Linked DNA regions of Macaca fascicularis. The protein of the gene in region 6 interacts with the protein of the main gene of each other region in a pairwise test. Links are inferred from orthologs where the notes say so. Each region holds a gene or a part of one and is shown on either strand. Other genes may lie near its edges.

Region 1 (4,162 bases), on a different chromosome or scaffold from region 6:
TCACTGCAACCTCTGCCTCCCAGGTTCAAGCAATTCTCCTGCCTCAACCTCCCGAGTAGCTGGGACTACAGCTGTGTGCCACTGTGCCCAGCTGATTTTTTGTAGAGACAGGGCTGTGCCATGTCACCCAGATCGGTCTTTTTTTTTTTTTTTTTTTTTTGAGACAGAGTCTCGCTCTGTCGCCCAGGCTGGAGTGCAGTGGCCGGATCTCAGCTCACTGCAAGCTCCGCCTCCCGGGTTCACGCCATTCTCCTGCCTCAGCCTCCCGAGTAGCTGGGACTACAGGCGCCCGCCACCTCGCCTGGCTAGTTTTTTGTATTTTTTTAGTAGAGACGGGGTTTCACCGTGTTAGCCAGGATGGTCTCGATCTCCCGACCTCGTGATCTGCCCGTCTCGGCCTCCCAAAGTGCTGGGATTACAGGCTTGAGCCACTGCGCCCGGCCAGATCGGTAATTCTTATTTATTTTATTTATTTATTTTTTTTTTGAGAAAACGAAGGGTCTCACTCTGTCCCCCAGGCTGGAGTGCAGTGGCACGATCATGGCTCACTGCACCCTCGATCCCCCAGGCTTAAGCAATCCTCCCACTTCAGCCTCTCAAGTAGCTGGAACTACAGCCACACACCACTACATTAACTAAAACAATGGTTTTTTTTTGAGACGGGTCTTGCTGTGTAGCTCAGGCTGGAATGCAGGGGTGTGATCTAGGCTCACTGCAACCCTTCTGGGTTCATGCCATTCTCCCGCCTCAGCATCCCAAGTAGCTGGGACTACAGGCGCCCCGCCACCACACCCGGCTAATCTTTTGTATTTTTTTTTTCATAGAGATGGGGTTTCACCGTGTTAGCCAGGATGGTCTTGATCTCCTGGCCTCGTGATTCATTTACCTCAGCCTCCCAAAGTACAGGTGTAAGCCACCATGCCCGGCCAATTTTTAAATTTTTTTATAGAGTTGGGTCTTGCTATGTTGCCATGGCTGGTCTCGAACTCTTTGGTTCAAGTGAGTATCTCGCCTCAGCCTCCCAAAGTGCTGGGATTAGCGGCATGAGCCCCTGCAGCCACCCTAATTGATTTTTTATTATTAATTTTTTTTTGAGATGGAGTTTTGCTCTTGTTGCCCAGGCTGGAGTGCAATGGTGCGACCCTGGCTCACCGCAATCTCTGCATCCCAGGTTCAAGCGATTCTCCTGCCTCAGCCCCCCAAGTAGCTGGGATTACACGCATGTGCCATCACGCCCGGCTAATTTTGTATTTTTCAGCAGAGTTGGGGTTTCTCTATGTTGGCCAGGCTGGTCTCAAACTCCCTGCCTCAGGTGATCCACTCACCTCATCCTCCCAAAGTGCTGGGATTACAGGTGTGAGTGACTGCGCTCGGCAACTGATTTTTCAAAAACCATCCCTCCTCCTGTCCCAACTTCCTTGGCTTCCTAGTCTTGCACACCAAGAGATGCTGCATCATGCAGGATACCACCGGCCACCCCCTTGCCCTGTACTGGGAGTGGCACCCTGCTAGCTGCTGAAATGGGAGTGTAGACAGACAGCCAGACACTTACAGCTTCAGGACAGCCAGGTTGGCTTCCAGATCATAGGCATTTTCCTTGGCCTGCGTCTCCACATAGCGCTCCAGGGTGGCCAGGTTCTCAGGATTGTACCTAAAGGAGAATCAAGATAGGTGAGCAGACAGGAGACAGAAGCTGAGGCCAGTCACTTTACAGTTGCAGGGGCAACTGTAACCTGCTCCTCCCACCCTTCCCCTCTAAATCTGGCACTGGCCACTTGCTCTATCCAGGTAGTGAATTATGTCCAGTATAATCTCTAATAAAACTTATTCATATCCCAGACCTCTCACCTAAGCTCTATACTCCATTGGAGCCCTGGGTCTTGCCTAGGATACCTCCCCAACCTCTGAGCCAGTCAGTCACTGCGGCTTGTGCATCTGGCCTCCTGAACATCTCTGTTACTCACCCCTTCCTCCCCTGCTCAGGCCTCCACCCTGATCCAGCCCCATCCTCTCCTGCCTACCTGGATGCCTACTTCCCCCATGTCCGTCTGAACACTCTAGCCTTTGCTTCCCCCATTTCGGTTCTAACCTCTCCCAGATATCACTGTCTGATGTCAGGTTTGTCTCCCTCATGGAATGGGAACTCAGACCGTGAAGGCATGATCTGCCGCTGTCTGATTCGCCTGTGGTTCCCAGCATTGCCTAGCACTGACACTTTATTTCAATAAACATGTGAATGAATGACGTAAGGAGCAGAGAAGGGAGAGATTCAGAGGCACTCAAAGGAGGCAGGGCAGAGAAGGAAATCTTAAGGCAATTCACGAAGAGACTGAGCGGTACCAAGATTCTTTCGCTTCTAGGCCTTTGCAGGGCTGTTTCTTTCTTTCTTTCTTTTAAAGACGGGGTATGACTGTTGCCCAGGCTGGTCTCTAACTCCTGGGCTCAGGCGACCCGCCTGCCTCGGCCTCCCAAAGTGCTGAGATCACAGGCGTGAGTCACCGCCCCCAGCTCAGTGGCGTTTCTTTAAGCATCTCCTCCTCCAGGAGGATAGAGAAACCCCACCCCGCGGCAAGCCCAGGACCCTGACCACCCCCTGCTGCCTCCTGAAAACCCTCCCCTCCGCCCCGCATGGCCAGAGCGCTCCCTCCGACCGGGCTCAGACCTGTCGATACCCTTGAGCAACTTGCCCACGTTAGCTCTCATCTGTTCAAACATCGCCATGACTTCTGTCGCTTTCCACAACCAGGGCTGGAGACTAACACCGGCCCGGCACGGCGTCCGCGAGGACGGGAAAAGGAAGAGGTGGTGGAAACGGAAACGACGTCATTGTTGTCGCTCCAGCTCCCTGGGGGCGGTGAAGGGACAGGCTCTCGCAGCAGCCGCCACGCTTTCCGGCGGCCACGTGACTTCTTCCTCGCAGGGGCAATTAGCGCGTGCGCATTCGCTCCACTCAAGCTGGACGGACAGCGTGAGAAAAAGCTTACTGTATCCCAGTGCGCAGGCGCCTCTCGGCGAGGGGCGGGGCTAAGCTTTTCCCGGGCCTCACAGACCCAGTTCCAGTGCCGGGGGCGCGGGAGCGTGCGCGCGCGAACTCATTGGGAAGCAGTCGGAGCTCTGGCGGCGTGCGCGCGCGTTGTATTGCGCGTGGCCCTAAGTCCCCGGAGCTGTGCGGGAATGCACGCAGCAGCCCTCCGTTTAGGCATTGGCCAAGTCCCGAGGGAGATGTTCTCTGAGGTCCCTCTCGCCTCAGGCCTGGGCGCATGGTGCAGGATCCTGAGCGCCCAGGATCCAGTTTCAAGTCTCGGCCCTTGATCCCCAGCTCCAGGAAGAGGGTCCCACAAAGCTATTGTGCTCTGCCGGGCAGGGGCTGGGGTGAGGGCTCCTGGACTTCGCCGGATCGCGCCCGGTCTCCATTAGGTTCCGGTCTTGGAGCTGAGGGCGAGGGTCCCATCTGTACTGCCATCAATTATATATCATGTATAGGTTTTGTACACTGCAAGCGTAGAAAATGCAGTTATGTGCCATGTATGTGGAGGTATATGCGCTGGGTACCTCCACGTGTGTACTGTGCACACAGGTATCTAGGTAGATGCACATCTACACGTCTACATGCCCGCGCAGTGCAGAGGAGGTAACCCAAGTGCATGTATGTGACAGGTGAACAGGCATGTACACTGCGTAGTCATCCTTGTGCAGACTTGCCGCCTTCGGGTTGTGGCCAAACCTTCAAGCACCCAGTAGAGGTTTAGACACTACCTAGGAGACGGGGGCGGGGGTTCTAAGGCACCCCCCTCCAATCCAGTTACCATTAAGATAATTTGCATCACATTTACATCCAGCCCTGGGCCTTGGAGGTTGAGGATGGTCCCTTGGGTCCCAAGACAAGCTGCCCCTCAGAGGCTCTCAGCGCCCAGGGGACAGGGGGTGGAGCCCTTTGCACAGCCCTGCAGTGCAGCTGGGGCAGGAAGCGAGAGTGGGGAGGAGGGAGGCCACAGCCCGCGGAGGCAAGGCGGGTGCAGGGCTTCTGGGGACAGAGGGAGGTGCCAGAACTTGAGCCCTGAGGCCCTGCTGGCCCCTGGGCGCAGGCCCAGCTCCGGCCCCCAGGGATGGACCTCGTGGATCCGGACATTTTCAATAGAGACCCCCGGGACCACTACGACCT
Region 2 (3,500 bases), on a different chromosome or scaffold from region 6:
CCACCCAGTTCCCTCCCCCAGAAAGCCAAGCAAAACAGTGTACCTGAAGCCACTTGGGGAAGAAGTGCTTTTCAAGAAGTCCCACCAGACTAGAGACAGAGATCATCCCTTCCCAGTCGATCACCCAATAGAATGCATCCATGTGCTGCTGGTGGGGGTTAATGACTAGCTCACCAAGACACATCCCTGGAAGAGAAACCCGGTCTATAAGGCACAGCTTTAGTACTGGCAAAGCCACAGAAGCACAAAGAGCAAAGATAATGTCCGTTTTCCTCTCAGGTCACAACAACCTCCACCTCCTGGGTTCAAGTGACTCTTGTGCCTCAGCCTCCTAAGTAGCTGGGAGTACAGGTGTGCACCACCGCGGCCGGCTAATTTTTGTGTTTTTATTAGAGACAGGGTTTTGCCATGTTGCCCAGGCTGGTCTCAAACTCCTGATCTCAGGTGATCTGCCACCTCAGCCTCCCAAAGTGCTGGGATTACAGGCATGAGTCACGGCTCCTGGCGGTTTTTTTTTTTTTTTTTTTTTGAGACAGGGTCTCACCGTTGCCCAGGCTGGAGTGCAATGGCAGATCTCAGCTCACTGCAACCTCTGCCTCCCAGGTTCAAGCCATCCTCCCTAGTAGCTGGGACCACAGGCACATGCCACCACACCTGGCTAGTTTTTGTATTTTTGGTAGAGATGGGGTTTAACCATGTTGCTCAGGCTTTAATCTGCTTTAAAGGTCAAATTTAAGCTCCTGACATAGCAATTCTTAAAAAAAAATATATATATATATATATATATGTTTTTTTTTTTTGCTAAACCAGAAATAACTCCCTAATAATTTAGAATAAAATACCACAAAAATTTCAGAACTCCAATGGCTGTCCTGTTACCAGAAGCCAAAGCCAATCAGGAAAACCACAAGGCACAGAGTCCGATGTTGTTACTGTCAACTATTAGTCGCTGTTGTAAACAAACAGCGGAAAGGACCCAAGTTACATTTATGTTCAGCCTCTGAACAGCAAGGAATATTGTGTACTAAGCACTTTCATGAATACAAAGGCTATGCTTTAAATCACCACTGACCAAGAAACCAGGGCACCAAAGCTGCTGGGCTTGGACTGCATTTTCCCCATATCCTTACCCAGCTTGGGCACTATGTTTTTGACCATGAATGCTTCCCAGGAGCCAGGAGTGAAGACATCCTTCCAGGGCTGGAGGATAAGCTTGGCAGAGGAGTCACTGGGGTGCCACTTCTGCAGGGCACTGGACAGCTTGCTACGGATGGGGGAATAGAGCGGCTCCAGCCGTGCCTGCATAAGGGGCAACCATGGGTGGATCCAAGAGTGGATGGGAACAGTGTCTGTGAGCGGGTTCCAGTTTTCCACCTGCAATGTGGGGAGAAGAAACAGAAGAAACAGTTCATGTCGCCTATTGGGCAGTCACATAACACCCGTGTGGTTAAAGGCAAGAGCTGCCCCTGGAGGAGGCCCCATGCTCTCCAAGGCCCATGGTCCTTTGTACATCGCCAAACAAATATGCCCATTCATTTGATTACCTCTCAGAAATAGCATAATTCTAATTTTAGTGAAGAAATCAAGAAAATGAATTCCCTCCTGAGGGTGGCTTGGGGGGAAAAGTGCTGAGAAAAAGGCTGGAATTAACACTCTAGGTCAACAGTTGTGTTGACAAATTCTGTTAATTCCAGGCATTTTAACAGCACTGAGATAATGAAGACATAGACTGAACAAGTCCCTGTAGTTAGTGATGACAGTTGTTCCTGTGACTCTCACCCCACCTCCTTTTGCAGCTTGGGGAAGATGAGTTGGTCCAGTATGTTATCTAAGATCCACACAGGAATGATGTGCACCCAACTATCCAAAAAGTCCACCATCGGGTCACAGTTCCTTGGCTGCCACTGAGTGACAATATTTCGAACAAAAGGCATCCAGACTTCCCATATCAACCTATGGGAGAAAGGCAGAGGACAGGCTGGTTAATTACACTGATTGGTTTCAAAGAACACCACCACCGCCCACCTCTCTAGAATCAGAAATAAAAATGCAACAGCATGGAAATCCGATCAGAGGAAACCATCAGGCCAGTCACCATGCTGGCCAGACCTGAGCCTGCTTCTTCCTTGTTCTCGTGACTCTCCTCTCGAACTGAGGCCTTGGTCTCGTAGGCAGTGCCCGCCCACCTGGCAGAGCTGCTTTAGGGTCACAAGGGTCTCTTCCTAGGTATCAAGTGCTTTCCCACCTATAGGCTTCTATTCATGAGCTGACATCTCTCACCCTCTGATCACAGTTTCAATGTCACCTCCTCTAAGACCTCTGTCCTAACCCCCATTCCAAGGAGGTCGCTCCTGCAGTTTTCTATCGCTGTACCTGGTGTGCATCCTGCCTTTATTTGTTCACTACCTTATTTCCCATCTGCCTTTTCTGCTGTACTAAAGACAGAGGCTGTCTGCTGTACTAGGGTAAGCCCAGCACCTAGCACAAGCATGATATTCAACAGACATTTGACAAGTGTCAGCTGAATTCATGGCCAAATGTAATTGTACAACCACTATGGAAAACAGTGTGGAGATTCCTTAGAAAACTAAAAGTACAACCACCATTTGATCCAGCAATCCCACTACTGGGTATCTACCCAGAAGAAAAGAAGTCATGGCTGGGTGCGGTGGCTCACGCCTGTAAACCCAGCACTTTGGGAGGCCAAGGCAGGCGGATCATGAGGTCAAGAGATTGAGACTATCCTGGCCATCATGGTGAAACCCTGTGTCTACTAAAAATACAAAAGTTAGCTGGGCGTGGTGGTGCATGCCCGTAGTCCCAGCTACTTGGGAGGCTGAGGCAGGAGAATTGCTTGAACCCCGGAGGCAGAGGTTGCAGTGAGCCAAGATCACGCCACTGTACTCCAGCCTGGCGACAAAGCGAGACTTCATCTCAAAAAAAAAAACACAAAAGAAGTCATTTTATGAAAAAGATATTTGCTCACACAAGTTTACAGTAGCACAATTCACAACTGCAAAAATGTGGAACCAACCCAAATGCCCACCAATCAACAAGTAGATAAAGAAACTGGTACATATATATATAATGGAATATGACTCAGCCATAAAAAGGAATGAATTAATGGCATTCGCAGCAACCTGGTTGGAATTGGAGACTACTATTCTAAGTGAAGTAACTCAAGAATGGAAAACCAAACATCTTGTGTTTTCACTCATAAGCGGAAGCTAAGCTATGAGGATGCAAAGGCGTAAGAATGACACAATGGACTTTGGGGACTTGGGGAAAGGGTGAACGGGGTGCGGGATAAAAGACTACAAATTAAGCCAGGCACGGTGGCTCACGCCTGTAATCCCAGCACTTTGGGAGGCCAAGGCGGGTGGATCACGAGATCAGGGGATGGAGATCATCCTGGCCAACATGGTGAAACCCTGTCTCTACTAAAAATACAAACATTAGCTGGGTGTGGTGGTGCGTGCCTGTGATCCCAGCTACTCGGG
Region 3 (3,973 bases), on a different chromosome or scaffold from region 6:
CCAACCAGTGACTCAACCAACAGTCAATTAAGCATTTCTTCAACCATTCCAACATCTCCTTTACTGAGTACTCTGTATCTGTGGTGTCTGTATTTACTCTGTTCTTAAAAGGCAAACTAGATCACATTACACACAGATACACCTTGTTTCATCTTTACTCATTAATTACTGAAAACCCACGATGTGCCAAGCATTTGGGATACAGTAATGAATACAATGATTCCTGCCTCCTGAGGGCTTCTGCGTATGCAGTTCCCTCCAACTAAAATGCTCTTCCCTTGGGTGTTTTCCTGGCTCATTCCTTTCCTTTTTTTTTTTTTTTTTTTTTGTAAGGGATAAGATTTCACTCTGTTGCCCAGGCTGCAGTGCAGTGGCATCATCTTGGCTCACTGCAGCCTAGGCCTCCCAGGCTCAAGCGATCCTCCCACCTCAGACTCCTAAGTAGCTGGGAGTACAGGCATGCGCCACCATGCCTGGCTAATTTTTTTTTTTTTTTTCCCTATAGATATGAGGCCTTGCTATGTTGCCCAGGTCCTGAACTCCTGGACTAAAGCAATTCTCCCTCCTCAGCCTCCCACAGTGCTGGGATTACAGGCCACCATGCCTGGCTTCCTTCCCATCCTTTATGCCTCCGTCAACATGTTACCTACTTAGAGAAAGTTTTCTGGCTACCCACTCTGAATTAGGTCCCCTTTGTCATTTTGTAGCTCAGCTGCTAAGTGTTTCTGACTTATTCCAATACACTCTCATTTAATTTGCCTCTGGTCTACTCTCCACAGTATGAGCTGCTGGAGGGCACAGACCATGTTCTTCTTGTTTCCAGCTGTATCCTCAGCACCTAAAACAGTGCCTGGCACATTGTAGGCACTCAACATTCAATGAATACATGGATGAGTTTTTCCTCCCCCATCTTCCCCTGCCCTCCACTCCCCTGCTCCACCTTCCACCTGCCCTTACCTGCCAGGGGCTCTCCCCCCACTGGAAGCCCGCCCTCCAGGGCTCCCCCAAGGACCTCATAAGGAGCCACGGGGGCAGGGGCAGGGGGGAGTTTCCCATAGTCTACGAGCCATCCCAGCCCGCTAGCTGGGAGCAGGGTCCTGTCCAGCTCCAGCCCCAGGGTGGCCAGGAGTGACATGGCTGTAGCACAGGTGCAGGGCGCTGTAGCACAGGTGCAGGGCACTGATGGCAACAGGAGCCGCTGCACCAGCAGCTGGGACGAGGCTCTGGAGGATGCTCAGCTGGATGAAGACAGGCACCAAGGCGAAAGTGGAAGACCTACACGTGTGAGACAAGAGTGGGTGGGGTCGTGGGGTCAGGAAAGCCTCATCCACCGGCCAAAATCATGGGGAAGCCAAGCCACACCCCCAGGCACGTCCACGGGGCTCCTCCCTCCCCCTTCCAACCACAGTTTATAACTAAGCCTCAGCCTCTCCGAATTCTAAATTTGCCCTTTCTTTACCCAAATCTGAGCCCCACCCACTCCCAAGGGAATTTCTTTAGGTCCTAAGGTAGGACCGATGCCCCACCCTTTCCCCCAATACGGAAACCTAAGGGTCTCCCAGGGGAATTACCTTAGGCCCTTCCCATCCACCTCAGAATATTCCGCATCATGGAAAAACTCAATTCCAGGGACATTTTCTTCCAGCCACGCCCCTTGCCCTAAAATATTTCCTTTTGGCCCCACTGCCTTCCTAGCTTCCATCCCAAACCAGTGCCCAGGGGAACTGCCCCAGGCCCCAGCCCTTCAGCAATGTTATCCACTCAAATCCCACTCCTCGCTTTGCCACTGCCCCTCCAAGCCCCGCCCCTCATTGTTTATTTAGCTCCGCCCCTCTCCGATTCCCCAGAGGCCCCGCCTCTTTGTCCCATCGAAGCCCCACCCCTCAGCTAAAGGTTGGCTTAGCCCCGCCCCTTCTCACAATGGGCTCACGAAATCCCACCCATCGTGACGACAGTGGTTCTAGCCCCACCCACTTAGAGGGCTGCCTCTAAGCCCCGCCTTCTCCCCTGTCAATCTAAGCCAGTCCCCGCCTCAGCAGGTGCCTGGTTTAAAAGGAAGGAAGTTGGGCTGTGAGCCAGAGCAACGTGGAGCAGGGAGGGTGGAGGAGGGTAGAGGGGGCAGGCAGAGAACTGCTACCCGAACGCCAGCCGTCCACACGCGGCTATGCGCCAAGGGCCAAAGCGCATGCTACGTCTTCCGAGCTGTCCAATTGCTTTACACCTCCGCCTTCTTGGGGATCAGTGCGCATGCGCGGACACTCAGGGCCCGCGCTCATTAATTACGGGGCACTGGTAGGCTACTGCGCAGGAACAACCAAGCACGCACAGAATCGTTTAGAAAAAGACCACACCCTCCCTTGGAGTGCGCAGGCGCAGCCACACGCCGGCTGACAAACATCGAGTCTCTAGAACTCTCCCACCCGGCTCCGGGCCCAGTGCGCATGCGCAGCCGCGCGCCTTCGGCCCACCGTACCTCTTCTGCGCCTGCGCGACCGTGATTCCCCGCTCGCAGCTCCCCTCCCCCCAGGGCTCCCTAAAGAGGGCCACGAGCTGCGAAAGGGCGGGAAAGGCGGTTGGAGAGGGAGAAGTAAGCGGTTACTCACTCCATGGCTGCAGCAAGGAGAGGCGGCGGCGGCCTCGGCTGAAGAAAGAAGGTGGGAGCGGAGAGCGCAGGCGTGGTAAGCGCGGAGTCGGGCTGGGGGCACAAAGGGGTCGAGGCTACAGAGCCATGGCCGGGGCTACGCAGGCGGAGGCGGAGAACGCTGTAGTTAGAAGAGACCGTGATCTGAGGACGGGGAATGAGGCGGCCCCGGGGACTGGGGACAGATATACTTCGGGTGGCGCAGCATGGCCCGCCCGGATCCTTCCGCGCCCCGCCCTCGCGGGGCCCCAACTGGGTGGCAGCCCGGTCCCCTCCTCCTGGGGATCAGGGGATCCGACCTCTTCCTTCCCACTCCTAGGGTCCAGGCCCCTCCTCCCTTTTGAGCCAGGGATCCGGCCCTCTCGTAGCTCCGGGGTCTGGTTTCCTCCTAAACTCTGGTTTCTTTCTTTTTCTGCCTGTGAGGTCTGGGCCTGCTTCCTCCTGTGATTTGGTGGATCCAGTCTCATTCTCTTCCCGGAGACCTGCACCATTTAATTTCTGTTTCCCTTTCCCTGCTTGCAGAATTTCCTGTCAGCCACACTTTTCATGTTTTCATCCCCCAACTGCTGACCCCGAGAAACCCTCGTGGGTTAGAGTCCAGCGTGAGTCACAGCACTCTCCCAAACACAGACCTACCAGGATGGCCTCGGGCAAATAGCTTAAGTTCTCTTGCTTCATTTCCCTATAAGTAAAATAAGAAAAATCAGCTCTCCTGGTGGGTTTATGAAACTCAAGACGGTGTCTGGCAAGCCTTATGCACAGAGTTCAACTCATACGTTCCTGTTCAATTTTTTTTTTTTTTTTGGTGAGATGACGTCTCTCGGTCTCTGTCGCCCAGGCTGGAGTGCAGTGGCGCGATCTCGGCTCACTGCAAACTCCGCCGAGTTCACGCCATTCTCCTGCCTCAGCCTCCAGAGTAGCTAGGATTACAGGCGCCCGCCACCACGCCCGGCTAATTTTTTGTATTTTTAGTAGAGACGAGGTTTCACCTTGTTAGCCAGGATGGTCTCGATCTCCTGACTTCATGATCGGCCCGCCTCGGCCTCCCAAAGTGCTGGGCTTACAGGCGTGAGCCACCGCGCCCGGCCTCAACATATTTTATTGGGGCCCAGCCTCACTTCTTCTTTCCCCCTTACAAGAGCCGCAGACGTTGGACTGTCTAACTCTTGCTGTCGTTCTTCTGTCTCCCTCATTCCTCTGAAGTGTCTGTTTCCGGCCATCCTCATCTTCCGTTCCAAATGATGGGTGCCCAGGCCCCATCCCCTGGCAGGGATTCAGACATCGAGGCCCCAGCTGCGTCCTTTTCTCCATCCCTTGCCCTTGGCTTCCTTT
Region 4 (3,500 bases), on a different chromosome or scaffold from region 6:
GCTCTCATCACTCTAATGAGTGCCTAGGCTTAGCACAAACCCTCTTTCTAGCATCTGAAGCATTTTGGGGTTAGTAAAGGCCAAGATTGATGTTAGGCTCACCTTTGAAGGACTGTTGCTGAAGTAATAGAAAATCTTTTCTCGAGGAGAAAGCATTGTTTCATTTTTATGTGGGGAAATGTAGACAGGATGATTTTGAGACAACTGTATTCGGCGAGGGGAGCCTGTTCTTACAAATGGATAGGGAGAGAGTGGAGGAGCATCCATCTGTTAAAAAAAAAAAAAAAATCAGTAACTCTAAGAAAAGAAATTTATAATGAGGTATTTTTACTGAGAATGATAAGAGTGATATATTAGCACTAATTTAACCTAAAGAAAAACATTCTAATAGCAAACCTTAAGTGCTTAGTTTGTGCCAGTTATTATTTTAAGCAATTTTTATACATTATGTCATTTCATCCTTACAACTCCATATGCTAAGAACTAGTTATATTCCCATGTTTTATATATATGAGGAAACAAGGTACAGAGAAAATTTAATGATTTGCAAGGTTACCACTACTGTTAAGTACTAGACAATTTGAACCCATGTAGCCTGTCTCTTGTACTACTATACTTTGTAGGGACTCCAAATACAATCTTATTCTTGTTTAATGCTTAACAACAGAACTTATGTTGGTTAGGTAAATTACAGACCTCCTCAGTTTTACTTAATAGAATTATTTGTAAAACTAGCTTATTTATGAGACAGAGTCTCGTTCTGTCGCCCAGGCTGGAGTGCAGTGGCGCAATCTCAGCTCACTGCAACCTCTACCTCCCATGTTCAAACAATTCTCCTGCCTTAGCCCCCAGAGTAGCTGGGATTACACATGTGTTCTACCACGCCTGGCTCATTTTTGTATTTTTAGTAGAGACTGGGTTTTATTTACCACGTTGGCCAGGCTGGTCTCGAACTTCTGACCTCAACTGATCTGCCCGCTTCAGCCTCCCAAAGTGCTGGGATTACAGGTGTTAGCCACCACGCTTGGCCAAAACTAGTTTATATATGGACCAGGTGAATGGTCCATATATAAATCATAAATAATTCCTCAATACTCATGAAAAAAGCATGAAATGATCCCTGTAATACTTACTACATTTGCCTGGGAGTACTTCATGGCAAATGTCTTAATCTGTTTGATGTAGATGTTGTTGTAGAACTGAATGAGGTCTCCCCTCTCTTCTTCTTCCATGTCACTGTTGGCACCTGTGAGGCGAGTAGGTGTAGGAGGAGCACTGCTGGGCTGTGGAACTGGCAAGGTGCTGCTTGACCTCATGACTGGACTGGAGTCTCTACTGGCTGCTTCCAGGAGAACACAGGGTGTCAATACAAAAGCTGCTAGTATAGATTGTTTTAATTTTTAAAAAGTAGGAGAAAGGGAACAGCTACCTGCATTACTTGCTAATAACAGTGAATAGGCACTCTGTTCTTCACACCAAAAGGCAAAGCTCAGCTAGGATTTTAACTTGATATCCCTATGCCATAACCATAGCAAGGGCTTTCTGAGTAGTATTAATAAGCTACACCAAGTTTTCTAGGACCTAAGCCCTAGGACAAACCAACAGGTAGGGGATGGTATTTCCATAGCATGGCTCCAACTGACATGTCAGTCCTTTCTGAAACTCAGGCAAGCAGATTCCTCACTGAAAGCTCTAATTCTCCTGGAGAAAAATGTTATAGAATATGTGCCCCAAAGCTATGGAATGGACAGTTTTGCCACCCAGAATTTGATTTACTGATCCATTAAACCCTTTGTTTATACACTTTCATAGTTTCTATAGTTATTTCATTTAGTAATGGTTACTTCAAGTCCTAAAAAGTAAGAAAAGCTCCTAATTTTGTCTTGTAGTTCACAAAGATCCCACTTACTTCTATCTTTGTTTAGTTCTGTTGGAGAATTCTGATGGCTTCTGCTATCACTGCTGCCGGAATTTCGTCTTTTTCTTTTCCCTTTTATCAAAACACTTCTATACACCTTTAGAGAAATAATGAGAAGGGGATGTAAACTAGTATTTGTTGAGCACACCCTTGGTGATAGGACCTTGACATATGTTACTTTTCACAATAATCTGTGTAGCAATAGTTGTCCTCAGAAGAGGCTAAGAAACATAACTCAAATTATAACAGATCTAAGATTCAATCAGAGCCCATCTAGCTTCACATGCCAAGTACTACTTGCAGTACCACGCTGCGGTAACAGCACCCAACCATAAAGTCAAGTCATTCTAAGTCAGATACACAGATCTGCCAATTTGCCTCTCAGAGACGAATCGTAATAAAGGCAAAGTGGGTTTTAAATTTCCATGTGACATTCTCTTGGTTAAACGTACAGTATGTTTACTAAACCAGAATGGTGACATAGAAACCAAGTAACTTCTTAATTCCTATCTATCTTGTGATTTTTCTGAATTGAGAAGGCAATCAAATATTTAACATTGTTGCCTTCTGAGGAAAAGAGAACTTAATCAACATGTGACATCAAGAATAAAGAAGATTAAAGCAGAAATTTCCCTTAAGTAGAGTCCCAGGTGTTTATCTTGGAAAAAAAGGCCACAGAGTCAACTATGGTTAATTTCTTGTATTCATCACAGACTTTAAGCGTTATTTTCAGCCCATAGAGAAAATGTAGTTACCTGGCTCCGGGCCTGTGGCTGAGTCCTATAACAACGCATAATATTCTGGAAGGACTTATCTTCTTTTGTGACCTGGCAAACAATAAGAGTGCTCTGAGAGATACAACAACTTCCACCATAATAGTGTGAGGAGCTGTGTGAACCTGCTGCCCAGTAAAAGGGGTGAAAATTATATAAAAGCTATTTAAAGTCTCTGGAAATGGTATTAAAGGCATATAGCAAATGAAGATACATCGATTCAAGAATATCTATTAAAATTCATTAAGAATAATATGTGAATCAAGACTTAGAGGCCAGTGCGGTGGTTCACACCTGTAATTCCAGCACTTTGGGAGGCCGAGGAGGGTGGCTCACTTGAAGTCAGGAGTTCAGCCTGGCCATCATGGTGAAACCCAGTATCTACTAAAAATTCAAAAATTAGCCAGGCATGGTGGCATGTGCCTGTAATCCCAGCTACTAGGGAGGCTGAGACAGGAGAATCACTTGAACCCGAGAGACGGAGGTTGCAGTGAGCTGAGATTGAGCCACTGTACAGTCTGGGCAACAGAGCAAGACTCATCTCAAAAAAAAAGACTTGGAGTAGAAAATTACAGTAACTGAAATGAAAAATTCACTAGAAGCTAGGGAAAATAGATTTGAAGTAGCAAAAAAACCAAAAAGATTAGCAAACATGAAGAGATGATGTGATCTGAGAACAGAGAAAGAATGAAGAAAAATAAACAGCCTCAGAGAAATGTGGCACAGCATTAAGGAAATCAACATAAGTGTAATGGGAGAATCAGGAGAGGAGAGAAAGAAGCAGAAAAAAATGTTCAAAGAAATACTGA
Region 5 (4,065 bases), on a different chromosome or scaffold from region 6:
CCACCGGTCCGAAGGGCCCCCCGCGTTGGACACGCCGGGACGGTTCCTTTGGCTCCAATCACTGCATCCCGCCAGGCTCCGCTCCTCTGCGGTTTCCGGCCTCAGGTCCCAGGCCTGTCTCCGAGGCTCCCTGCCTGACCTCAGTTTCTGTTTCTCCGTCTCCCTGCCATCTCCACTGGGGTCTCGCCCACTCCCACTCGGGTCTCTGCAGGAAGCCTTGCCCTCCTCCCACCCTCTTTGATCTCCCGTTTCAAAGCCGCTCGCCAAGGGAGGGGAGGTAGCTCCTTCCGCCCGTTTTACAGCTCAGGATGGTGACACCTGAGACCCTGCTCCGCCTTCTCCCCGGGCACCCATCCTCCCTTCTATCTTGGTGGCGGCGCAGCTCGCCAGGGCTCCGCGCTTCTGTCCCCGCCTCCCTCCCTTCCGCCTACGGAGACCCCCTCGGGGTCTGGGGAGTGAAGCGACAGAGAAAGCGCTTTAATAAAGACCTCGCGTCAAGTGATTGGCTGTGACCTCTGCCCTCCCAGCCTCGCGCCCTGGGCTCCTGCTTAACCCTTCAGTGTCCGCCCAGCCCATTAAGGGGAGCGAGTCGCCTGGCGACTACTTCCAGAGTCCCCAGGCACTACGTGAGCCCGAAGCAGGATAGAGGGGTGGGGGGACCGTGCCACCCCCGCCCAGCCTCTCCGAGTTGTTCCAGCAGGGGGCGCCGTTGCCTCACTTAGATCCCTAATCCCGCAGAACCCCGGAGCTCCCCCGCCCCTCTCTGAGTTCGAAGTGGTCCCACTGGATCTAGTTCAGGCTTCAGTGGAGCCAGGGCTCAGTTGCCCATTTCCCCCGGTCAGCTACGGCTCAAGATCTGGGATCCGCCCGCGGGTGGGGTCGCCAGGTGTCCAGCGCCAAGGAGTTGAATGCACCGAGTCAGGTTGGGGATGGGTGGCGAACAGGCGAGACGTGAGGAACTCTGGTGGGGGACAGCCATACACGAGCCCTGAGCATCTGCGCCCGCAGCTGGCTCCCCGCGCCTAGGCGGACAGCGCAATTCAAGTGCAGGCTTTGCATCCGCTTCCCCATCCACTCCCTAGAGCAGGAGAAGGCTATCTCGGTCCCCAGAGAAGCCTGGACCCACACACCGGCTAGATCCAGAGGTTGGTGGCAGGGCCCCCCCAAGTGGGGGAGGGGGCGGAGCGGAAGGCGGGGCCACTTCAATCCTGGGCAGGGGAGGTTCCGCACAGGGTATAAAAGCTGTCCGCGCGGGAGCCCAGGCCAGCTTTGGGGTTGTCCCTGGTCGTATCTTGGTTCCTGAACCTCACGACTCGGCGACGGCGACGTCTCTTTTGACTAAAAGACAGTGTCCAGTGCTCCAGCCTAGGGGTCTAAGGGGACCACCACCCGCGCCGCCACCATGCCCAACTTCTCTGGCAATTGGAAAATCATCCGATCGGAAAACTTCGAGGATTTGCTCAAAGTGCTGGGTAAGGAAATGTTCGAGGGCCCAGGTGGGGCAAGGGGGGCTCTGGAGTCCTCGAAGGTGGGGATGAAAAAGAAAGCGGGACCACAGGGCGTGAGACACTGGGCGCCTGCATCACTGAAAAACGTGCCAGGCGTCCGGGTCCCGTGGCGCTGGGCACGACGCCTAAATCCCGCTTTCTCCTGCGGGGGCCCACCGGTGCCAGCACTGCGGTGACTCACAGCCTGTGAATCACGTAGAAACCAGAAGCGCGAGGTTGGCCTCTGGGGGAAGGGGAGGCTGGCCTCAGCGGCCGGACTCGGTGAGCCGAGGGACCTGGCTGTCCGCAGTTCAGAAGCTGCAGGCTGGTGGAGCCACGAACCCTGCATCCAGACTGGGAGCCCGGTTCTCTAACCTGCCCAGCCGCTCGGACACATTCCAATCTCCTTCCCGGTGCCCCCCTCGGTAACCCAATCCCCGGAGCAGGCTCATTACCCCTAGGCGCCCAGCTCTGCCTACCAGGTGATCTGCCGCCCCAGCGCCCCCTGAGCTCCCCTTTCCTTCCCGTGTGCACTTTCCACTCTACTCTCCCTACCCCCCATCTGTGAGACAAGTATTTTACTGCAACGAGCAGCTCCAGAGTTCTAAAATCGCTAGGGATAATTATCACTTTCTTGGATTTCAACAAATGGTTTCGTGTGAAACCCCAATCCCACATTTCCAAAAATCTAGGTTCCCACCTCCCTCCACACACCATAGATCAGCTGCAGCCCAACTGGGTGTGTTGGTCAAAGGTGGGGAAAACAAAGTCAATCCAGACTGCCCTTCCCACTTTCCCAGCCCACTTTCTGTGTGCTCTCTGGGCCAACTGGGCTAGACATCTGGGGCTCTGGGGGAGAGATGGACGATAGTTAAGGACCCCAGTCACTGGGAGCGTAAGGACAGGCCTGCTGCCTTCAATTCCTGCACTGAACAGAGAGAGGGTAGTTGGGCTGGGCTGGGCAAGGGGGTAGGGAGGGAGGGCACCCTGGACTATAGGAGTGAGACTGGATCTAAGAAGGGTCTGGAATGTTGCAGAGAGAGCAGGAATCTCCATCATTCCTTGCTGTTGGTTCTTCCTGCGATCTAACCACAATACTTCTTGGAGTCATATCAGTCTTTCTCGCTCTGTCCTTGCTGAACTTAAAGACGAAAAGATAGAAGTTTTCTCTTTGGAAAGCCTACATGCCACTCCCTCCTCATCTTCTCTGGATTCTGGCTCCTGTCCCCAGTGGATGAGGTGGTGGCCTGGCGCACCCCCAGGTCCCAGCTGAAGAGTAAGATTCAAGGCCCCAATCCTGCTGTCTGTCTTCAGTCTGTTTGTCCTCTCTGCAGGGTCTCTCTGAGCCACGTGCCCTCCTCAGGCCCTGCAGGGGGGAGATTAAAAACAGATCCATTAGACAAACACAGTCCTGAGCCAGTCAAGGCCGGCTGAGCTGGGCCCCCAGCTCCACAGGCACCAGGGGCTTGCTGAAGGGATGTCTCCTCTGAACTCAGCCTTACTTCTGCAGGAACTTCGGTCCTGGCACAGCCCTCTTAGCTCTAGTCAAGGGTCCATCTCAATAAGACTTGGGGACCTCAGTCATTTCTCCCTAGACCCAAGAGTTCAGCAGCCAACCATGGGGTCCTGGGCTCCCCAGGGACAAGACTTCCTCTCTCCCTCTCTCTTCTGTTTGGAGTAGGGTAGCTATGCTTTGGCGCTGAGGGGAAAGAGGATTTGTTTCTCTAGGAACCCAGGTCTGGAGGAGGGCCAGGGAGTTGGCCGGATCAGGGGCAGGGAAATCCTGCTGCCTGGCGGAGGGCCCTTTCACCCCCACCTAGTGCATCCCTGGCTGTACTCCAGGACAGGGCGGCAGATCAGGCCAGGTGAGGTGGGTGTGTGGAGCTTAGACCTGGAGCCCATCCAGAGAGGCCCCCTGCTCTGCACATCTTCCTTTCAGAGGGGTGCTGTCTCCTATCTCCCCCACTTTGGTTAATAACTGGGGAGCAGAGAGAAGGGGTCCAATCTGGGCTGGGATATGGAGGTGCACAGAGAGTCTGAATTCACAGAGGCTGAATGAGATAGCCAGACCCTGTGAGGGGAGTGGGGGGTCCTGAAGTAGGGGACACATCACACAGAGCGGGGAGGGCAGGCTCCTTTTCTACCCCTTCTTCTCACGGCAGAGGGGGTTCCCTTGAGGGGACAGGGATATGGGAGTCTTCCAGAAGGGCAGATGAGCACGGTGCCTAATGAAGGGAGCTTTGTCTGAACCCCAGCTTTTTGTTTTCCTTTTTTTTTTTTTTTTTTTTTTAGTGGTGGGATCTCACTATGTTGCTCAGTCTGGTCTCAAACTTCTAGGCTTAAGCAATCCTCCTGCCTTGGCCTCCCAAAGTGCTGGGATTACAGGCATGAGCCATGGCACCTGACCCTTTGCCTTCCTTTTATCAGTAAAAATAATACCAACAATAATAGCTACTGTTTCCTGAAAACTTAAGCATATGCCTGGCACTGTGTGTGCTGAGTCCTAAACACATACCATTCCGATTGGCTTTTTTTTTTTTTTTTTTTTGAGACAGAGTTTTGCTCTTTTTGCCCAGGC
Region 6 (2,160 bases):
GGTGCCTGCTCCATGTCCGGGGATGAGCTTACAGAGCTGCTGGCAGGGATCACTGGCACTGAAGTGGTGAGTGCTGGGCAGCTGGGCAGCAGCCTCTCCATTCATATAGTGCTATGCCCTGAGCCTCCAGTAGAGGGAAACCTCCAACCCCAACCTGGTCCTGAGTCCTGGTTTCACAACCTTGGGGCTTTGTGGCTTTTTATCTCCTGCCTTGGTCTGGAGAAGAGCAAGTATCTTGGGTGGGGTGAAGGGCACTGGCCCTAGGGGCTCTTTTCTTGCCAAGTGGTGTGCTGGAGTGGGGGTGGGGGATTCGGTGTCAGATGCAGGGCTGCTCTCACACTCCCTTGCCACATCCTCTTGCTAGTTTCTGAGAACTGAAGAGCGATTCCTGGGGCTGGGCTGTGGCCTAACCTCCCCAGACTTCCCCATGTGTTGGGAGCTGTCCTTCCCCTGCACCTGCTGCCAGATGCTATGGGGGGGAGTGTTCAGTCCTCACTGTTCTCCCATGTTCCCAGGACTGCCTGCGGGCCTGTCAGGAGCAGATCGAAGCTGCACTCAGGGAGAGCCTCAGGGAAGCCGCCCAGACCAGCTCCAGCCCAGCGCCCAAAGCCCCCCGGGGCTCCAGCAGCCAAGGGCCCAGCCAGACCAGCACTCCTACAGATGTCACAGCCATACACCTGTAGCCCTGGAGAGGCCCTCTGGAGTGGCCACTAAGCAGAGGAGGGGCCGCTGCCACCCACCTCCCTGCCTCCAGGAACAAACCACACCACATCTGAAGCCTGAAGGGGCGTCTGTTCCCCCTTCACAAAGCCCAAGGGGTCTGGTCCTACCCATCCCCGCAGTGTGCACTAAGGGGCCTGGCCAGCCACGTCTGCATTTCGGTGGGTAGTCAAGCTCCTCCTCCCTGCATCTGACCAGCAGCGCCTTTCCCAACTCTAGCTGGGGGTGGGGCAGGCTGATGGGACAGAATTGGATACATAACGCCAGCATTCCTTTTGAGCGCCCCCCACCCCTGGGGGCTGTTTTCAACTGCCAAAATGCTCTAGTGCCTTCTAAAGGTGTTGCCCCTTCTAGGGTTATTGCATTTGGATTGGGGTCCCTCTGAAATTTCATGCATGATAGACACATATGAGGGGGAATAGTCTAGATGACTCCTCAGTACTTTGGAGGCCCCTATATAATCCGTGCTGACAGCTGCTCCTAGAGGGAGGGGCCTAGGCCTCAGCCAGAGAAGCTATAAATTCCTCTTTGCTTTGTTTTCTGCTCAGCTTCTGTGTGATTGACAGCTTTGCTGCTGAAGGCTCATTTTAATTTATTAATTGCTTTGAGCACAACTGTAAGAGGACATAACGGGGTCCTGGCCATCCCACAAGTGGTGGTAACCCTGGTGGTTGCTATTTTCCTCCCTTCTGCTACTGGCAAAAGGATCATTGTGGCCGAGGAGCTGCTACAGCCTGGGGTGGGGTCATGCCCTCCTCTCCTGTTGTCCCTCTGCCCCATCCTCCAGCAGAGAAAATGCAACAGGGATGCCCTGGAGGTGGCTGAGCCCCTGTCTAGAGAGGGAGGAAGCCCTGTTGACACAGGTCTTTCCTAAGGCCACAAGGTTTAGGCTGGTGGCCCAGGACCATCATCCTACTGTAATAAAGATTGTGAAATAAAACTGGCTTTGGCTTCTTGGATTGGTGTGTGGGTTAAGTCTATTTCTGGACTGTATGAGGTAAGGAGGCGGAAGCCAGTGGTCTAAAGCAGGGATCATTGAGCCTTTTCTGTAAAGGGCTGGATAGTTAGGCTTTGCGGGCTATATGGTCTCTGACCCAAATATAATCAGTTCTCTTTATAATGTGACCTATGTGTTCCTGAAAATCACTATGCCATGCAATTTGCACAATAAAAACCACAGGTCTCATGGGAAAAATGGGGCTTGAAGCACAACACTCAAATGAGTGACACATGTTAAAAAAAGGATAGCTTGGTTTTTACATGTCAAATGGTTGAGAAATACATAAATATTACAATAAATACGGCCTTTTATCTTGAAGACATGCACTTTGCTTTTGGAAGTGGATGTTGGAAGGGTTGCTCAACACAGGTGGGCAGCTAAGTGAGGTAGCTGGTACATGTTCAAGTGTGAGTTTTGTGTACTAGTTAGGCTTGGTTCAG
Region 7 (2,607 bases), on a different chromosome or scaffold from region 6:
AGCCCCAGTGGTGTGTGGATGCTGAGGTGCCCCTCACCGCCCTTGGCTCTGCCTTACAGAGTTTGCAGGCGATTCGTAGGGGGTATTCTGAGAAACTAGATAAGCAGGGTTCCTCGAGCCACAGACGGCCCTGCGCGTTCCCAATACTCAGGCTCCGCTCTTGTGTGAACTGGGCTCAACATTCCTGTTATTTGAGGTTTCTCGTGGGCAGGGTACAAAACCCTGGAGCCTGAGAGATAGTTCTGCCTATACAGTTTACCTGATTGATTTTGGAGGCAGTGTGCTGTGACCCTTGACCTCTTCTGCTGGTTAGAGGTGAGAAGAGGGGGAAAAGGCAGAAGAGGAAGTTATTGTAACCTTGGGGACATGATGTTGGTGATGAGGTCCAAAGAGGGATGGCCCTGCCTCAGCCAGTGCTGTGTTCAGGGGACAAGCTAGTGGCCTCTGCCCAGGGATGCTTTCCTGGACTGGAGGCTCAAGGAATGGAGGTGGGCTCCCCTACACCTGCCCAGCCAGCCTTCACTCATTCATTCATCCACTTAGCAACAATTTACTGAGCACCTATTGGGTGCCAGGCACTATGCTAGGTACTGGGGTTCAACAGCAAACAGGACACAGGCTCCTTTCCCATGAAGCTTAGATGGAAACATTAAACAAATGCTATTTAACAACTAATTCCTAACATGGCAAGAGTTTTAAAAATAAAGTAAGTGACACTAGAGAATGGTAGAAGGAGGTAGGCTGACATGGTCTGGGTCACGGAGGTAGAGTGTTGCCAGGAGTCTTTTGGAGGAAGACCTTTTAAGCTGTTACCCAAAGGATCAGTAAGAGTCTGGCAAAGATAGCAGAACAGAGTTCCAAGCAGTGGGAACACAGATGTGAAGGCTGGTGACCAGAGAGCACGGCGCATCAGAACGCTGAGGGATGGACGGAGCATGGACAGAGAGCAAGGCCAGGCAGAGACAGGCCCAGGTGGGCCCATGGAAGGACCTGGGACTGGATCCTAAATACAAGGAGAAGTCACTGGAGGGCTTTGGGGCCATGCAGTGGTATCACCAGTCAGCAGTCATAGAGGGGTGGCCTAGGGGGTGCTGCCATTGAGTGTCTGTGTGGGTGGGAGGTGGGGGGATTGAGCAGTGAGGGGCCCAGCTCAGAGCTCCTGTGCCTTCTCCTCTACCACCCTGTCCACAGATCGTCCCGGGGTGCAGGACGCCGCGCTGATCGAGGCCATCCAGGACCGCCTGTCCAACACTTTGCAGACCTACATCCGTTGCCGCCACCCGCCCCCGGGCAGCCACCTGCTCTATGCCAAGATGATCCAGAAGCTGGCCGACTTGCGCAGCCTCAATGAGGAGCACTCCAAGCAGTACCGCTGCCTCTCCTTCCAGCCTGAATGCAGCATGAAGCTCACGCCCCTCGTGCTCGAAGTGTTTGGCAATGAGATCTCCTGACTAGGACAGCCCAAGGCGGTGCCTGGGTGGGGCTGCTCCTCCAGGGCCACGTGCCGGGCCCGGGGCTGGCAGCTACTCAGCAGCCCTCCTCACCCTGTCTGGGGTTCAGCCTCTCCTCTGCCACCTCCCCTGTCCACCCAGCCCATTCTCTCTCCTGTTCAACCTAACCCCTCTCCTGCAGGCCTTTCCCCGGTCCCTTGAGACCTCAGCCATGAGGAGTTGCTGTTTGTTTGACAAAGAAACTCAAGTGGGGGCAGAGGGCAGAGGCTGGAGGCAGGGCCTTGCCCAGAGACGCCCCCACTACTGCATAAGTGGCTGCTGACTGGTGTTGAGGGAACAGGCAGGGGAAATGCATCCATTCCTCAGGGACAGAGACACCTGCACTTCCCCCTACTGCAGGCCCCCCATGTCCCGAGCCTAGTGGGGTCTCCCTCTCCTGCTTACTCATGATAATCGGCCCACAGCTCCCAACCCACCCGCTTCAGTGCCCACCGACATTCCATTGCCCTGGTTATATTCTCACGGGCAGTAGCTGTGGTGAGGTGGGTTTTCTTCCCATCACTGGAGCACCAGGCACGAACCCACCTGCTGAGAGACCCAAGGAGGAAAACAGACAAAAACAGCCTCACAGAAGAATAGTGGATGGTGGCCATAGCTATCCCTGTCACCAAGCCCACAGTTTCTCACCCTGGATCTAAGGGGTTGGTTGAGGTGGAAGCCCTCCTTTCACGGATCCATGTAGCAGGACTGAATTGTCCCCAATTTGCAGAATAGCACCTGCCGTCCTCGTCCTCCCCCTGCCAGTGCCTTACCACCTGCCCAGGAGAGCCAGCCCTCCCTGTCCTCCTCGGATCACCGAGGGTAACCCAGAGCCTGCTCCCCCCACCCCCTCCCCACTTCCAGTCTGAAGCAGCAGTGAGCCGCGTCTTCTCCACCTGGCAGGGTGGGATGGAGGAGAAGAACTTTCAGACCCCAGCGGCTGCGTCATGATCTCCCTGCCGCCTCGGTGTGGTTCCAAGGTCGCTGTTCACCCACGGGGCTAAGAGCTAGCGCTCCCGCACCCCAGGGTGTGGGAAGGGAGAGCGGGGCAGCCTCGGGTGGCTAGTCAGAGAGAGCGTTTGGGGGTTCCATGATGTAGAGTAGCGTCCCTTCTATT

The links.
Region 1: the proteins of CCND3 (region 6) and EIF3K interact in a two-hybrid assay, tested with the Homo sapiens proteins (2 studies listed by BioGRID and IntAct). The link is inferred for Macaca fascicularis from reciprocal best matches to the Homo sapiens genes CCND3 and EIF3K.
Region 2: the proteins of CCND3 (region 6) and TFIP11 interact in binary tests that used the Homo sapiens proteins (3 or more experiments, as listed by UniProt). The two-hybrid records come from large-scale screens. The link is inferred for Macaca fascicularis from reciprocal best matches to the Homo sapiens genes CCND3 and TFIP11.
Region 3: the proteins of CCND3 (region 6) and ATF5 interact in a two-hybrid assay, tested with the Homo sapiens proteins (2 studies listed by BioGRID and IntAct). The link is inferred for Macaca fascicularis from reciprocal best matches to the Homo sapiens genes CCND3 and ATF5.
Region 4: the proteins of CCND3 (region 6) and RBL2 interact in a two-hybrid assay, tested with the Homo sapiens proteins (2 studies listed by BioGRID). The link is inferred for Macaca fascicularis from reciprocal best matches to the Homo sapiens genes CCND3 and RBL2.
Region 5: the proteins of CCND3 (region 6) and CRABP2 interact in binary tests that used the Homo sapiens proteins (3 or more experiments, as listed by UniProt). The link is inferred for Macaca fascicularis from reciprocal best matches to the Homo sapiens genes CCND3 and CRABP2.
Region 7: the proteins of CCND3 (region 6) and VDR interact in a two-hybrid assay, tested with the Homo sapiens proteins (2 studies listed by BioGRID and IntAct). The link is inferred for Macaca fascicularis from reciprocal best matches to the Homo sapiens genes CCND3 and VDR.

The regions. Positions count from the first base shown.
Region 1 is NC_088393.1:45,685,410-45,689,571, reverse strand, and holds the start of EIF3K (eukaryotic translation initiation factor 3 subunit K), read right to left. Parts: upstream 2,801-4,162; 5' UTR 2,722-2,800; coding exon 2,663-2,721; intron 1,652-2,662; coding exon 1,553-1,651; intron 1-1,552. Other genes in the region: MAP4K1 (mitogen-activated protein kinase kinase kinase kinase 1), read left to right, coding at 4,107-4,162. UniProt on the Homo sapiens protein: Component of the eukaryotic translation initiation factor 3 (eIF-3) complex, which is required for several steps in the initiation of protein synthesis.
Region 2 is NC_088384.1:25,186,325-25,189,824, reverse strand, and holds part of TFIP11 (tuftelin-interacting protein 11), read right to left. Parts: intron 1,954-3,500; coding exon 1,785-1,953; intron 1,375-1,784; coding exon 1,131-1,374; intron 187-1,130; coding exon 44-186; intron 1-43. UniProt on the Homo sapiens protein: Involved in pre-mRNA splicing, specifically in spliceosome disassembly during late-stage splicing events. Intron turnover seems to proceed through reactions in two lariat-intron associated complexes termed Intron Large (IL) and Intron Small (IS).
Region 3 is NC_088393.1:57,911,892-57,915,864, reverse strand, and holds the start of ATF5 (cyclic AMP-dependent transcription factor ATF-5), read right to left. Parts: upstream 2,801-3,973; 5' UTR 2,604-2,800; exon of another isoform or gene 2,470-2,603; intron 2,184-2,469; exon of another isoform or gene 1,572-2,183; intron 1,276-1,571; 5' UTR 1,136-1,275; coding exon 958-1,135; intron 1-957.
Region 4 is NC_088394.1:49,468,637-49,472,136, reverse strand, and holds part of RBL2 (retinoblastoma-like protein 2), read right to left. Parts: intron 2,746-3,500; coding exon 2,674-2,745; intron 2,016-2,673; coding exon 1,910-2,015; intron 1,343-1,909; coding exon 1,134-1,342; intron 268-1,133; coding exon 103-267; intron 1-102. UniProt on the Homo sapiens protein: Key regulator of entry into cell division. Directly involved in heterochromatin formation by maintaining overall chromatin structure and, in particular, that of constitutive heterochromatin by stabilizing histone methylation.
Region 5 is NC_088375.1:104,370,189-104,374,253, forward strand, and holds the start of CRABP2 (cellular retinoic acid-binding protein 2), read left to right. Parts: upstream 1-1,265; 5' UTR 1,266-1,402; coding exon 1,403-1,472; intron 1,473-2,097; exon of another isoform or gene 2,098-2,853; intron 2,854-4,065. UniProt on the Homo sapiens protein: Transports retinoic acid to the nucleus. Regulates the access of retinoic acid to the nuclear retinoic acid receptors.
Region 6 is NC_088378.1:129,633,430-129,635,589, forward strand, and holds the end of CCND3 (G1/S-specific cyclin-D3), read left to right. Parts: coding exon 1-66; intron 67-515; coding exon 516-683; coding exon of another isoform or gene 684-889; 3' UTR 890-1,660; downstream 1,661-2,160. UniProt on the Homo sapiens protein: Regulatory component of the cyclin D3-CDK4 (DC) complex that phosphorylates and inhibits members of the retinoblastoma (RB) protein family including RB1 and regulates the cell-cycle during G(1)/S transition.
Region 7 is NC_088385.1:54,587,022-54,589,628, reverse strand, and holds part of VDR (vitamin D3 receptor), read left to right. Parts: intron 1-1,191; coding exon 1,192-1,451; 3' UTR 1,452-2,607.